2 linked regions of the Rattus norvegicus genome follow. The protein of the gene in region 1 purifies or fractionates together with the protein of each later gene. This does not show direct contact. Links are inferred from orthologs where the notes say so. Each region holds a gene or a part of one and is shown in the gene's direction. Other genes may lie near its edges.

Region 1 (5,202 bases):
CCTTTCAGACTAAGCAAAAGAAACCAACAAATAAATGTGATAGCTTTCAGCTAACTCTGCCCTGAAATGAAAACCACTTATATCCTGTGATATTCTTGAAGAAACAATCATTTATCCCAATTCTGGACATGTGAACCTGTTCTTTCCTCTCACCAGGCTAAATGCAAACATTACTTGGCTAAATGACTCAGGTCGTTTCCCAGCATAGGGAATATGGCAATAACATCAATTTGATTCCTTCAGATACAGACTCCAGTCATAGTACAACCCTTCAGCCTACTGCGGCTCCAAATACCCATTTGGTGGAAGACTTGAACAGGACAGGACCACTTTCAGTGACAACTCGTAAGGATAATGACACATAGCCCTTTTGTTGACCTGTCTATCTACTTCACATCTTGCTCATATTGGTCAAGATGTTGCATTTGGTGGTGGAATGGTGGCAGTCTTTGCTAGGTGGCTTAACTCAGCCAGAGTCTGAGTCTGTTTCATTGTTGGCCTTTCTTGCACAGTATCTTATAACCCGAATGAATTTTCATCTAAGATCCACTCTGGAGTCAATGACCACATGGAAATGTCATTCATCTCCATTTTCCATCTCTAACTAGTCATGTGACACTGAAGACCATCACTGGTAGAGTGGCGTCTCAATGCTTTAACTGATTCTTTTTGATTCCCACCCTTCTTCCAGGCCAGGTAGAAGAGATGCTGCTTTCGTGGTTGTGTAAAGACATATGAGGGCCAGATCATTATAGTGAATAGGGAAATCGAGTTTAACCTTCAGAGGAGGGGTGAGGCATGTTGTTGATAATTGACCAAGGTGGAGGAGTTGCTGGAGTCAAAAAGAACCATTTGCTAACATCTTTTTCTATCACTAAACGCCTGCTAGGAAGAAATAGGAACATTTTAGTACCCTTAATTTTCAACATATTTATACGAATCTATAAAGACCAACCTGAAGCCATTCATAAATTCTTGGCAGAATATCAAAGAAATCCCAAATTAAGAAGACCTCATTTCACTGCTTGCTACACATAATGGCCAGAGCCCTTTATAGGAGCCCTTTAGGTGTAGGAAAACTGCCAGCAGGCATGTGTTGATTGTCATCAATGTAAATAGCACTGTGTTAGGCATCAAAGGAGGCATAAAGAAGTCTATAAATGGCCCTTGCCAATTCATGACTTGTATTTCCATTTTGTGTTACTGTTGGCTTTTTTCTGATGTTGGCTTTGGGATTCAGTGAATGTCTCTCTCCTGGTTATATTTGTTTGGTGGTGGACATGGCTGATGGGTGTGTTTTATGCGACTTTTGCACCTGCACTTCAGAGGTCAGTGTCTTTCTTGGAAGAACACAAAAGAAAATAACTCAAAATAGTCAAAGTGATTTCAGATATGGGCAGTGATTCAATCTCAATTTAATCCATTTCACTGAAGGCCCTGTGTTTGCCCAGGGAAGCATTTACTCAAGGCAGTGAAGAGAATCCCTGCTACAGGGGAGACCACAGCCCTACTAAAAAAGTAGTAACTCAAATGCAATGCTCTCTACAAGGGAATCATGTATTTCCTCATAAAGTTACTCTAAGTTCATTGATAGAGATGAGCTTTTTCTTTTGTGTCCACAGACACTACATAGCAACATTTTCCTTATAATCTAACTTCTAGGCAATCTTTATGGTTGAGGGAAAACTGAAATCACAGCCCCCATTTCCACGTCTCTGTGATCTTTGTTTCTGGGATCCTTGCTGCAGCTGGGTCAAGGTAGTCTAGGGAGGGCCATATTTGGGCTTGAGCTTCAGATTGGAACTTCACCGAAGGGCAAAGAAGCTAACTAGGGACAAAATATAATCTTTCTGTATCTTTGCATCAATCAGCAGATGATGAAAGGCACACATATCATTCTCCCATTGTATGTGTCCATTTGATATTCTGTAGCTAGACCGTCCATGTAAAACCATGTGTTATGGTTTCCAATTAACAATGGCTTCATCCCTCATTGAAACAGCACAGAGTCATTCTCAGAACTTCTCTACATTACCTGGAGAGCTGGAAGAAGGCGAAGACCATCCAACAACTTCTGTTCTGCCATCTAGCAGTAAGGATCATAAAGTACAACTGGCTTTTAAGCAGAAATCAAGATGTTATGGGTACTTTGTGGTATCTTTGGTGGTGGTCCTTGTGCAGTATCTTTAGATCTTTGGTGGTGGTACTTAGTGGTATCTTTGGTAGTGGTACTTTGTAGACCCTTTGGTGGTGATACTTTTGTTTTATCTTTGATGGTGATACACCTCTTGCCTGCTTTTATACATTATTTTTGATCAAAAGTTATGTCTGGTGGTGGTCTCTGATTCTTCTGCTTTATAGACATTTTAGAAGCCATCATACATTAGGTACAAACTTTTCTGCTGAATTTTAAAGGTATTAGATTAGTAACTTGGTTTAATAATGATTGTTTCTGTAAGATTTCTTTGATAGCCTTTGAACTAATTATTTTTTCTGGTTTGTTTCTGGACCACAGCTCTGTGGTATTGGTGACTACGAAGAATGTCCTCTTAGCACAGAAAAGAAATTTAAGGCAGTAGACCCAGGTCTTTTGGATTTGAGCTTACTATTCCAGTTGCAGGAAGAATGGTCTCATCTTTCCATCCAATGGTTTGTTTTTATACCCCTTCCTCAGAGGTCAATCCAATTGAGACAAAAAGGTCAAAATCCTCTAATAGCTGAGGTGAATTCAAGGTCACAATAGGATAACCACACACCCTTGATGACTCAGACAAACCTTGTAAGAAGTGCCTCTTCTGTGTAGTATGTAGTCACCAAAATCTCTCCTGTTGAGTGCTATCTGGCTGGTGCCTTGCAAAACATTGCTTTTGCTTGGTACCATTTGCTTTTGGCCTTGGAGAACAAGTAGAAAGATGTCTCGGCAACTTTACCTTCTGATGACAAGTGCCCAGTGGGTGGTGACCTTCCAGGTGTGGGCTTATCATTGACTCCACCTCCATGCAGCTAAGAGTGGTGCAAGAAGAGGTGGAAGTCTTCCCAGAGATACAACTACTTCACTGGAAGGCTACACCCCTCAATATCCAGACACAATGGAAAACGGGACTCTCTTCCCAGTGACCCCTGCTAAGACTGAGGTCTTTGGAGAAACTGAAGGGACTGTTGCTACTGACTCCAACTTTAATGTGGATGGCTCCTTACCAGGTAATTTAGCCATATGTCATCTGGCTTGCTTCTCTGGAGAAACAACATATATTTTTCCTATTGTAGGGGATATTTTCTGTGCAGGCTGTGATTAAATTACTTTGTGCCATGGGGATGGTTTTCATCATTGGTCATCAATTATAGTGTCAGCAAACTTGGATTTATTTGAGATAAAATATGCTTCCATTTCCTGGTGTAGCATCCTTTCTTTTGTGATTTCATATGGTAGATGTTCTTGCTTTGTCTTTTCTTCATTCTATGATATATTAACTTGAACCATGTGAAACATATTTTGATGGAGGGAAATAGTTGAATATTAGCAATTTCATTTGATTCAGATAATATAGTCTGCCTTTTAGCAGCACTTTACTAAACATTCAGATAATTTTCATATACGGGTACCTTTGTTCTGAAATTACCTTTAATTGGTGATGGACTGATTGGTTTTAGTTTTGGTGATGGGTAGATATATAAACCTTTTCTATTTGTGGCATGCTTCAAAATTTATGATTTACTATTCATGAACTGGACCCTCAGTTTTTAATTGTAATAGTAAGATATGATTTACTCAATTAAGTCTGACATGGACCCAGAATGAAACTTTTATCTCAAGTAAGAAATCCTCTCTACTTCTCTTCTTTATTTCTTTGTTTGTGTTAAGAAATAACATTATAGGAAGGAAAATCTGAAAGGGATCTCTGTGGCTAAAAAAATAGACACCTCTTTCCACTAGTTCCTGTAATCTGGGTACTTCCTACCATTCAATCACTGACACAATAAAGATGAATAAGTTTAAATATAAATATGTATACACATGCACATACACCTAATTTGTAGAAAGAGCCTACCTCCTTCACTCTCCCAAAAGACAAAGATAAGAAAATGATCTCATGGGACTCTCATATGCAAAGCAGATGGAAATAGTGATGTTCTGATTGACAGAGCAAGGGAAAATCCAGGGTGTTGTACACTTGGCACATTCCCTCTGGCTTCCCACTCTAGGGCTTCAAGAAAAGGTACTTTAAAAAAAGCAACCTCAGCAGTATTGGCAAGACCAAACCCCCTTACACTCTGAAGGCTTTTGGTTATTGTCCTTATTGACAATCTTCTTTTCCTCATTAAAACCTCCAAGTGCTATTGTTAGGTTCATGCAGAATGAATCAAAGGAGCGCCACAAACGTCCTCATGCTAAAATGGCTGTTCCATGCTACTTAATAGATTTGTATTTAAAATGACAATCTTTGCAAGGTCCTGGGTTCAGTCCCCAGCTCCAAAAAAAAAAAAAAAATGACAATCTTAGATATAGTTTCTTAGGTGGTTTGCAGAATCTAATTACTAGCAACTAAAACACTTACTATCAAATTAGTACTCCCATGTGCTGATCCCATCTGATCAATGTAACAAAGGGCAATGGTGCCCAGGGCCATCCTTCAGTTCTTCGTGAAGTCAATGATTAGTAAATGGTCTGATTCTCATCCCCAGTTTTAATCCAGAAGAATCTCAAACTGTGATTTTTGAATCATAAATATTTCTGCACACTGAATGTAAAGCACTGAAACATGCAATGGCAGTTGTGGTGATGGGCCAGGTGAAGGTGATGGCTTTGGAAATGGTGATTTTGGTGGTGGGACTCTTGGTGTGGTATTTCATCAAGTACTGTGTGGTCTGTTATTACAACCCTTCTCCAAGGGATCTCTCTGTAATAAAGTGGTCTCCAAAGTGGTCTCTCTGTAATAAAGTTATGTGCAAATAAACGCAAGCCTATGTCTCCTAACCAGGGATCACATACAGGGCATCTCACTGTATTCTCTATCTGGGCTCACTTGTAACGATCTGCACCAACTCTAGGAACCCCTGTTCTCTGGGTATGTTTGTCTCCCATAAAGTTTGACCTTTGGATTTAAAACTAGCTGCTCTTGAGTTTGTCTCTACCTAAAGCTTTCTGGTGATGGATATTCAAGAAGAAGGGATCATATCATGATTGTTGACCACGTGGGCTTA
Region 2 (5,202 bases), on another chromosome or scaffold:
CTCCACAGAGGAGAAATCCGAGGCATGCAAGGTCACGCAGTCAGTCAGCAGTGAAGCGGGATTTCAGACTCCAGGGATGATCTTGTGGTTCTTGTGCTGGGGATTGATCCTAGGTATGGGCTGGATGCCATTGAGCTATTCCCCTGCCTCAGAGCCTCTCTGTTTACCCCCACACAGTGTGCATAGGGTGAGGTGAAAGGCAAGTGGGGAGCTCCCAACTTCCCCACAGGGAAGTCAGGAGGCCCCAAGGGTGGTCAGGAGGGGACTGACTATTTGCCTTCCCCACAGAGATCCTGAAGGGAGGAGTTTTGATCCGTGGGAACCCTCAGCTCTGCTACCAGGACATGGTTTTGTGGAAGGACGTCTTCCGCAAGAATAACCAACTGGCTCCTGTCGATATAGACACCAATCGTTCCCGGGCCTGTAAGCCGTGTCCACGTGACCCAGACTCTTATCATATGGCCCGTCTCAGCCACCCACCCCCCTTTCCTGTCCTTGCTCTGGTCACAGGGTCATCTCCCTACCAATAGGCAGGACCTTCACCTCCTGAGGCCCCTTACGGTGCTGCCCTTGGGCCCTGCTCACATGTTCCTCCCACCATTCACTCCTCTCTGCCTCCCTCTCAGCCTCCTTTTCTCTCCCTGCTTCCCTCCTTCGCTGCCTTTCTCCCTTCAGCTCCCTCCCTGCCTCCACCCCGTTTCCCTGCCTTCCTCCCTGACTGTCTCCCTTTTGCTTCTGTCCACAGGTCCACCTTGTGCCCCCGCCTGCAAAGACAATCACTGTTGGGGTGAGAGTCCGGAAGACTGTCAGATCTGTGAGTCGGAGGGAGCCCTGGTGTCTGGGGCTGGGGCTGGGGCAGGTGGATGGCTGGGAGTAGCGGACTGACTTACTTGGGAGATGTCTCCCAGAAGGCCGTGATGCTAAGGGTCTGGTGCCGTCCAGGCCCTACCCAGCTCTCACCCAGTCCTTCCACCAACAGTGACTGGCACCATCTGTACCAGTGGTTGTGCCCGGTGCAAGGGCCGGCTGCCCACTGACTGCTGCCATGAGCAGTGTGCCGCAGGCTGCACGGGCCCCAAGCATTCTGACTGCCTGGTACGTGTGCGTGCCCTGGGCCAACCCTCCAGAACGCAAGGGGTGGGCATCTTTCCCGGCCCTGCCCGGATGCCACTGGCGCACAGGTGGAAACATCCCAGTGACCACCAGCGGCCTGTCTCTGCCAGGCCTGCCTCCACTTCAATCATAGTGGTATCTGTGAGCTGCACTGCCCAGCCCTCGTCACCTACAACACAGACACCTTTGAGTCCATGCACAACCCTGAGGGTCGCTACACCTTTGGTGCCAGCTGCGTGACCACCTGCCCCTGTGAGTACTGGGAAGAAAAACATCCTTTCAATGCCGTGGCTAGGGACGGTGGCTTGTATAAGAGGGAGCCTGTTGTGAGTAACCTGTGCCCCTTGGAGGGCTGGTCATGACTCTCAAGGCTGGGTGTCTTACCCTTTTTCTCTTTCCAAATATGGAACACTTCTCGAATTTGTGTGTCGCCCTTGCGCAGGGGCCATGCTAATCTTCTCCGTGTTGTTCCCGTTGTAGTACGTGTGCTGCCGAAGCGAGAGCCTTACTCTTTTGTTTTTAAAAAAAGTATTTCATTTATATTTATTTTATGTCGAGTGTGTGTTTTGCCTGTGTGTATGTCTACGCCTTGTGCCTGCGTTGCCCATGGAGGTCGGAAGAGAGGGAATCCGATCTCTTGGACCTGGAGTTACAGGTGGCTGTGAGCCACCATGTGGGGTGCTGAGAACTGACCCTGGGCCTAAAGAGGCGGCCCCTTTCACCATCTCTTTAGCTCTCGAATTTGTTGTTTGTTGATTTTAGTTTTGTTTTGTCTTAGACAGAGTCTCACTGTGTAGTCCTGGCTGTCCTAAAACTTACTGAGTATAGCAGGCTGGCCTCAAATCCATAGAGAGCCTCCTGTCTCTGCCTTGCCCGTCTCCCCCAATCCCTTTTAAGTCGGGATCCCGTGTAGCTTAGCCTGGCTTGCCTTGAACTTACTGCATAGCCGAGGATGACACTGAACTTCTGATCCTCCCGCCTTGCTCCTGCCAAGGGCTGAGATTACAGATGTATGCTGCCACTCCTAGGTTTTTACCTCATCTGTTTAACAGCTACATAACAGGAGGCAGCGAAAGTTGGGACCTGGAGTGCTAGATTTGAAACCTGTCCCCTACTGTCTTACTGCTTTCCACTTCCTCAGTTTCTTTATCTGTAAAATAGGGGCACTATTTGTCCAGTCCTAATAATTGTGTAACGTCTGAATGAGTTTGGTTCTTTTTTTCGGAGCTGGGGACCGAACCCAGGGCCTTGCGCTTCCTAGGCAAGCGCTCTGCCACTGAGCCAAATCCCCAACCCCACGTCTGAATGAGTTAATATTGGTGAATCTTCGAGAGCAATGCCTAGGCTGGACTAAATACTCTTTTAAATGTGTCTTGTTCCTCCGTCTGCATAGAGTAGGCTTCGTGTGGCAGTGACCCTAAGCACTGTGGACCTTAGGGACTGGACTTGGACCTGGGGACCTTCTTTTCCTTCCTATTATGGGAGGTGGGGTGGGGCCTTTAGGGTCTGGCTACGCTTCTCTTTGGTCAAGGTGAGAGGACAAAGTGGAGAGGTGGTCAGATTGTTTGGTCCAAGTCCATGTTCCTGGGTGACACAAACCTGTCACCCTGACACTTGGAAGGTAGAGGTAGTAGGCTTAGGGTTCCAAAATCATCTTCAGCTGCATGGTGAGGACTCCTTAAAGAAAAAAAAAAATCCCAGTTCTGTTACTTAGTAGCACAACGATAGGAGTGGCTTGTATAGCTCTGCGTCCTGATTTCCCTTTTTGCAAAGTGCAAATAACAGCTGTTGGCATAATGCATAGTAAGGAGCAAATGGTTGTCGAGTTCACATGCACAGGGAGGGCCTTCCAGTATTGGTGGGTAGTGTTCTTAGAACTGGGCGTCGCAGCCTCGATCGTGATTGGCTGGACAGAGGCTAGGCCACAAATGGACGTGTATCCCCAAATCTGTACAGACAACTACCTGTCTACGGAAGTGGGATCCTGCACTCTGGTGTGTCCCCCGAATAACCAAGAGGTCACAGCTGAGGACGGAACACAGCGTTGTGAGAAATGCAGCAAGCCCTGTGCTCGAGGTACCCAGCCCCATTCCAAGACCAGCCTGGTCCACCCAGCTCTCGCCTAGACTCCCGTCTCCTGCTATCATCACTTGTCCCTCTCCAGATCAGCCTCCTGGGTTTCTCTTTGTCAGCATAGGGAAGAGGCTTGTCACTTCAGGAGGGGACAGCAGACAGGTGTCTTGTGTGCCATGTGGTGCTGAGGTGGCCCCTTTCACCACCCTTTCCTTCAGTGTGCTATGGTCTGGGCATGGAGCACCTTCGAGGGGCGAGGGCCATCACCAGTGACAATGTCCAGGAGTTTGATGGCTGCAAGAAGATCTTTGGGAGCCTGGCATTTTTGCCGGAGAGCTTTGATGGGTAAGGGTACGAAGCGGCCTGAGGTGGTGCCAGGGAGGACCAGAGTTTGAGGCCAAGAATCCACATCAGGCAGGTGGGAGACCCGAGGGGGTCAGGGACATGGGGTTGGAGGTCACTTGTATAAATATCATTTAATCCATAGTCATGGACATACTGTGGTGATCAAACCATCCAGAGGGGACATTGTTTACATTGCGTGTGTTCCTCCAGGCTTTCTGTATGTTGGACACAGGGTGACAGCTTAGACTGGGGAAGGTAGCTCATGGAAACTGCCATGTACCCCTCATTTTGGGGAATTGCTCATGACGGCTTTTGTTGGGGTGCCTCTTTTTTGTTTTTTGTTTTGCTTTGTTTTGTTTTAAATATCTGGATTTGTACCATCTTTTTTTTAAAGATTTATACATTTATTATATATGAGTACACTGCAACTGTCTCCAGACACATCAGAAGATGGCATCAGATCCCATTACAGATGGTTGTGAGCCACCATGTGATTGCTGGGATTTGAACTCAGGACCTCTAGAAGAGCAGTTTTAAACACTGAGTCATCTCTCCAGCTCACTTTTTTTTTTTAAATTTATGCTCATTGGTGTTTTATCTGTATGTTTGTCTGTGCGAGGGTGTCAGAAGCCCTGGGACTGGAGTTAGAGACAGTTGTGAGCTACCATGTGGGTGCTGGGAATTGAACCCGGATCCTCTGAAAGAGATGCCAATACTCTTATCTGCCGAGCCATCTCTCCAGACCTCAAGCTGACTCAATCTTACAATAGCTGCAGAACGGGAGGCAGCAAAGACAAGCGACAGAGCCCAGGCTTGAGTTTGAAACCCACCTTAGTCTGTCAGTCTGTCTGTCTCTGTCTATCTGTTGTTCTCTCTCTTTCTGTATCTGTGCCTGTGTCTGTGTGTCTATTTGACTGTTATTTTCTCTGTGTATCTGTGTCTATCTGTTATTTTCTCTCTCTTTCTGTCTCTGTATCTGTGTGTCTGTCTGTGTGTCTTTCTTATCTGTCTGTTATTCTCTCTGTATCTGTGTCTATGTGTCTGTCTGTCTATCTGACTGTTATTCTCTCTTTTTCTGTGTCTCTGTCTGTGTGTCTGTCTGTGTTCAAAGGACAGTCTAGGTGTGACTCCCTCAGGAGCCATCCACCTTGTTTTTCAAAATAGGGTCCCTCTCAGGCCTGGAGCTCACTAAAACAGGCTACAGCCATGACCAGGGAACATGAGGAATTGATTTTACATCTCTAGTGCTGGGATCACAAGCTCAGCATCACACATGAGCTGCTGCTGCTGCTTTCTTCTTCCTCTTCCTCTTCCTCCTCCTCTCCCTCTTCCTCTTCCTCTACTTCTTCCTCCTGCACTTCCTCCTCCTACTCCACTTCCTCCTCCTACTCCACTTCTTCCTCCTCCACTTCCTCCTCCTACTCCACTTCTTCCTCCTCCACTTCCTCCTCCTACTCCACTTCTTCCTCCTCCACTTCCTCCTCCTACTCCACTTCCTCCTCCTACTCCACTTCCTCCTCCTACTCCACTTCTTCCTCCTCCACTTCCTCCTCCTACTCCACTTCTTCCTCCTCCACTTCCTCCTCCTACTCCACTTCTTCCTCCTCCACTTCCTCCTCCTCCTCCACTTCCTCCTCCTACTCCACTTCTTCCTCCTCCTACTCCACTTCC

The links. The genes of interacting proteins can lie anywhere in the genome.
Region 2: the proteins of Cd44 (region 1) and Erbb2 purify together in Homo sapiens (affinity purification with western blotting; 3 studies listed by BioGRID and IntAct, with this or other methods). This does not show direct contact. The link is inferred for Rattus norvegicus from reciprocal best matches to the Homo sapiens genes CD44 and ERBB2.

Annotation. Positions count from the first base shown.
Region 1 is NC_086021.1:109,628,712-109,633,913, reverse strand, and holds part of Cd44 (CD44 antigen precursor), read left to right. Parts: intron 1-243; coding exon 244-345; intron 346-2,002; coding exon 2,003-2,092; intron 2,093-3,003; coding exon 3,004-3,201; intron 3,202-5,202. UniProt on the Homo sapiens protein: Cell-surface receptor that plays a role in cell-cell interactions, cell adhesion and migration, helping them to sense and respond to changes in the tissue microenvironment.
Region 2 is NC_086028.1:83,916,387-83,921,588, forward strand, and holds part of Erbb2 (receptor tyrosine-protein kinase erbB-2 precursor), read left to right. Parts: intron 1-288; coding exon 289-423; intron 424-745; coding exon 746-814; intron 815-979; coding exon 980-1,095; intron 1,096-1,223; coding exon 1,224-1,365; intron 1,366-1,510; exon of another isoform or gene 1,511-1,617; intron 1,618-3,069; coding exon 3,070-3,189; intron 3,190-3,404; coding exon 3,405-3,531; intron 3,532-5,202. UniProt on the Homo sapiens protein: Protein tyrosine kinase that is part of several cell surface receptor complexes, but that apparently needs a coreceptor for ligand binding. Essential component of a neuregulin-receptor complex, although neuregulins do not interact with it alone.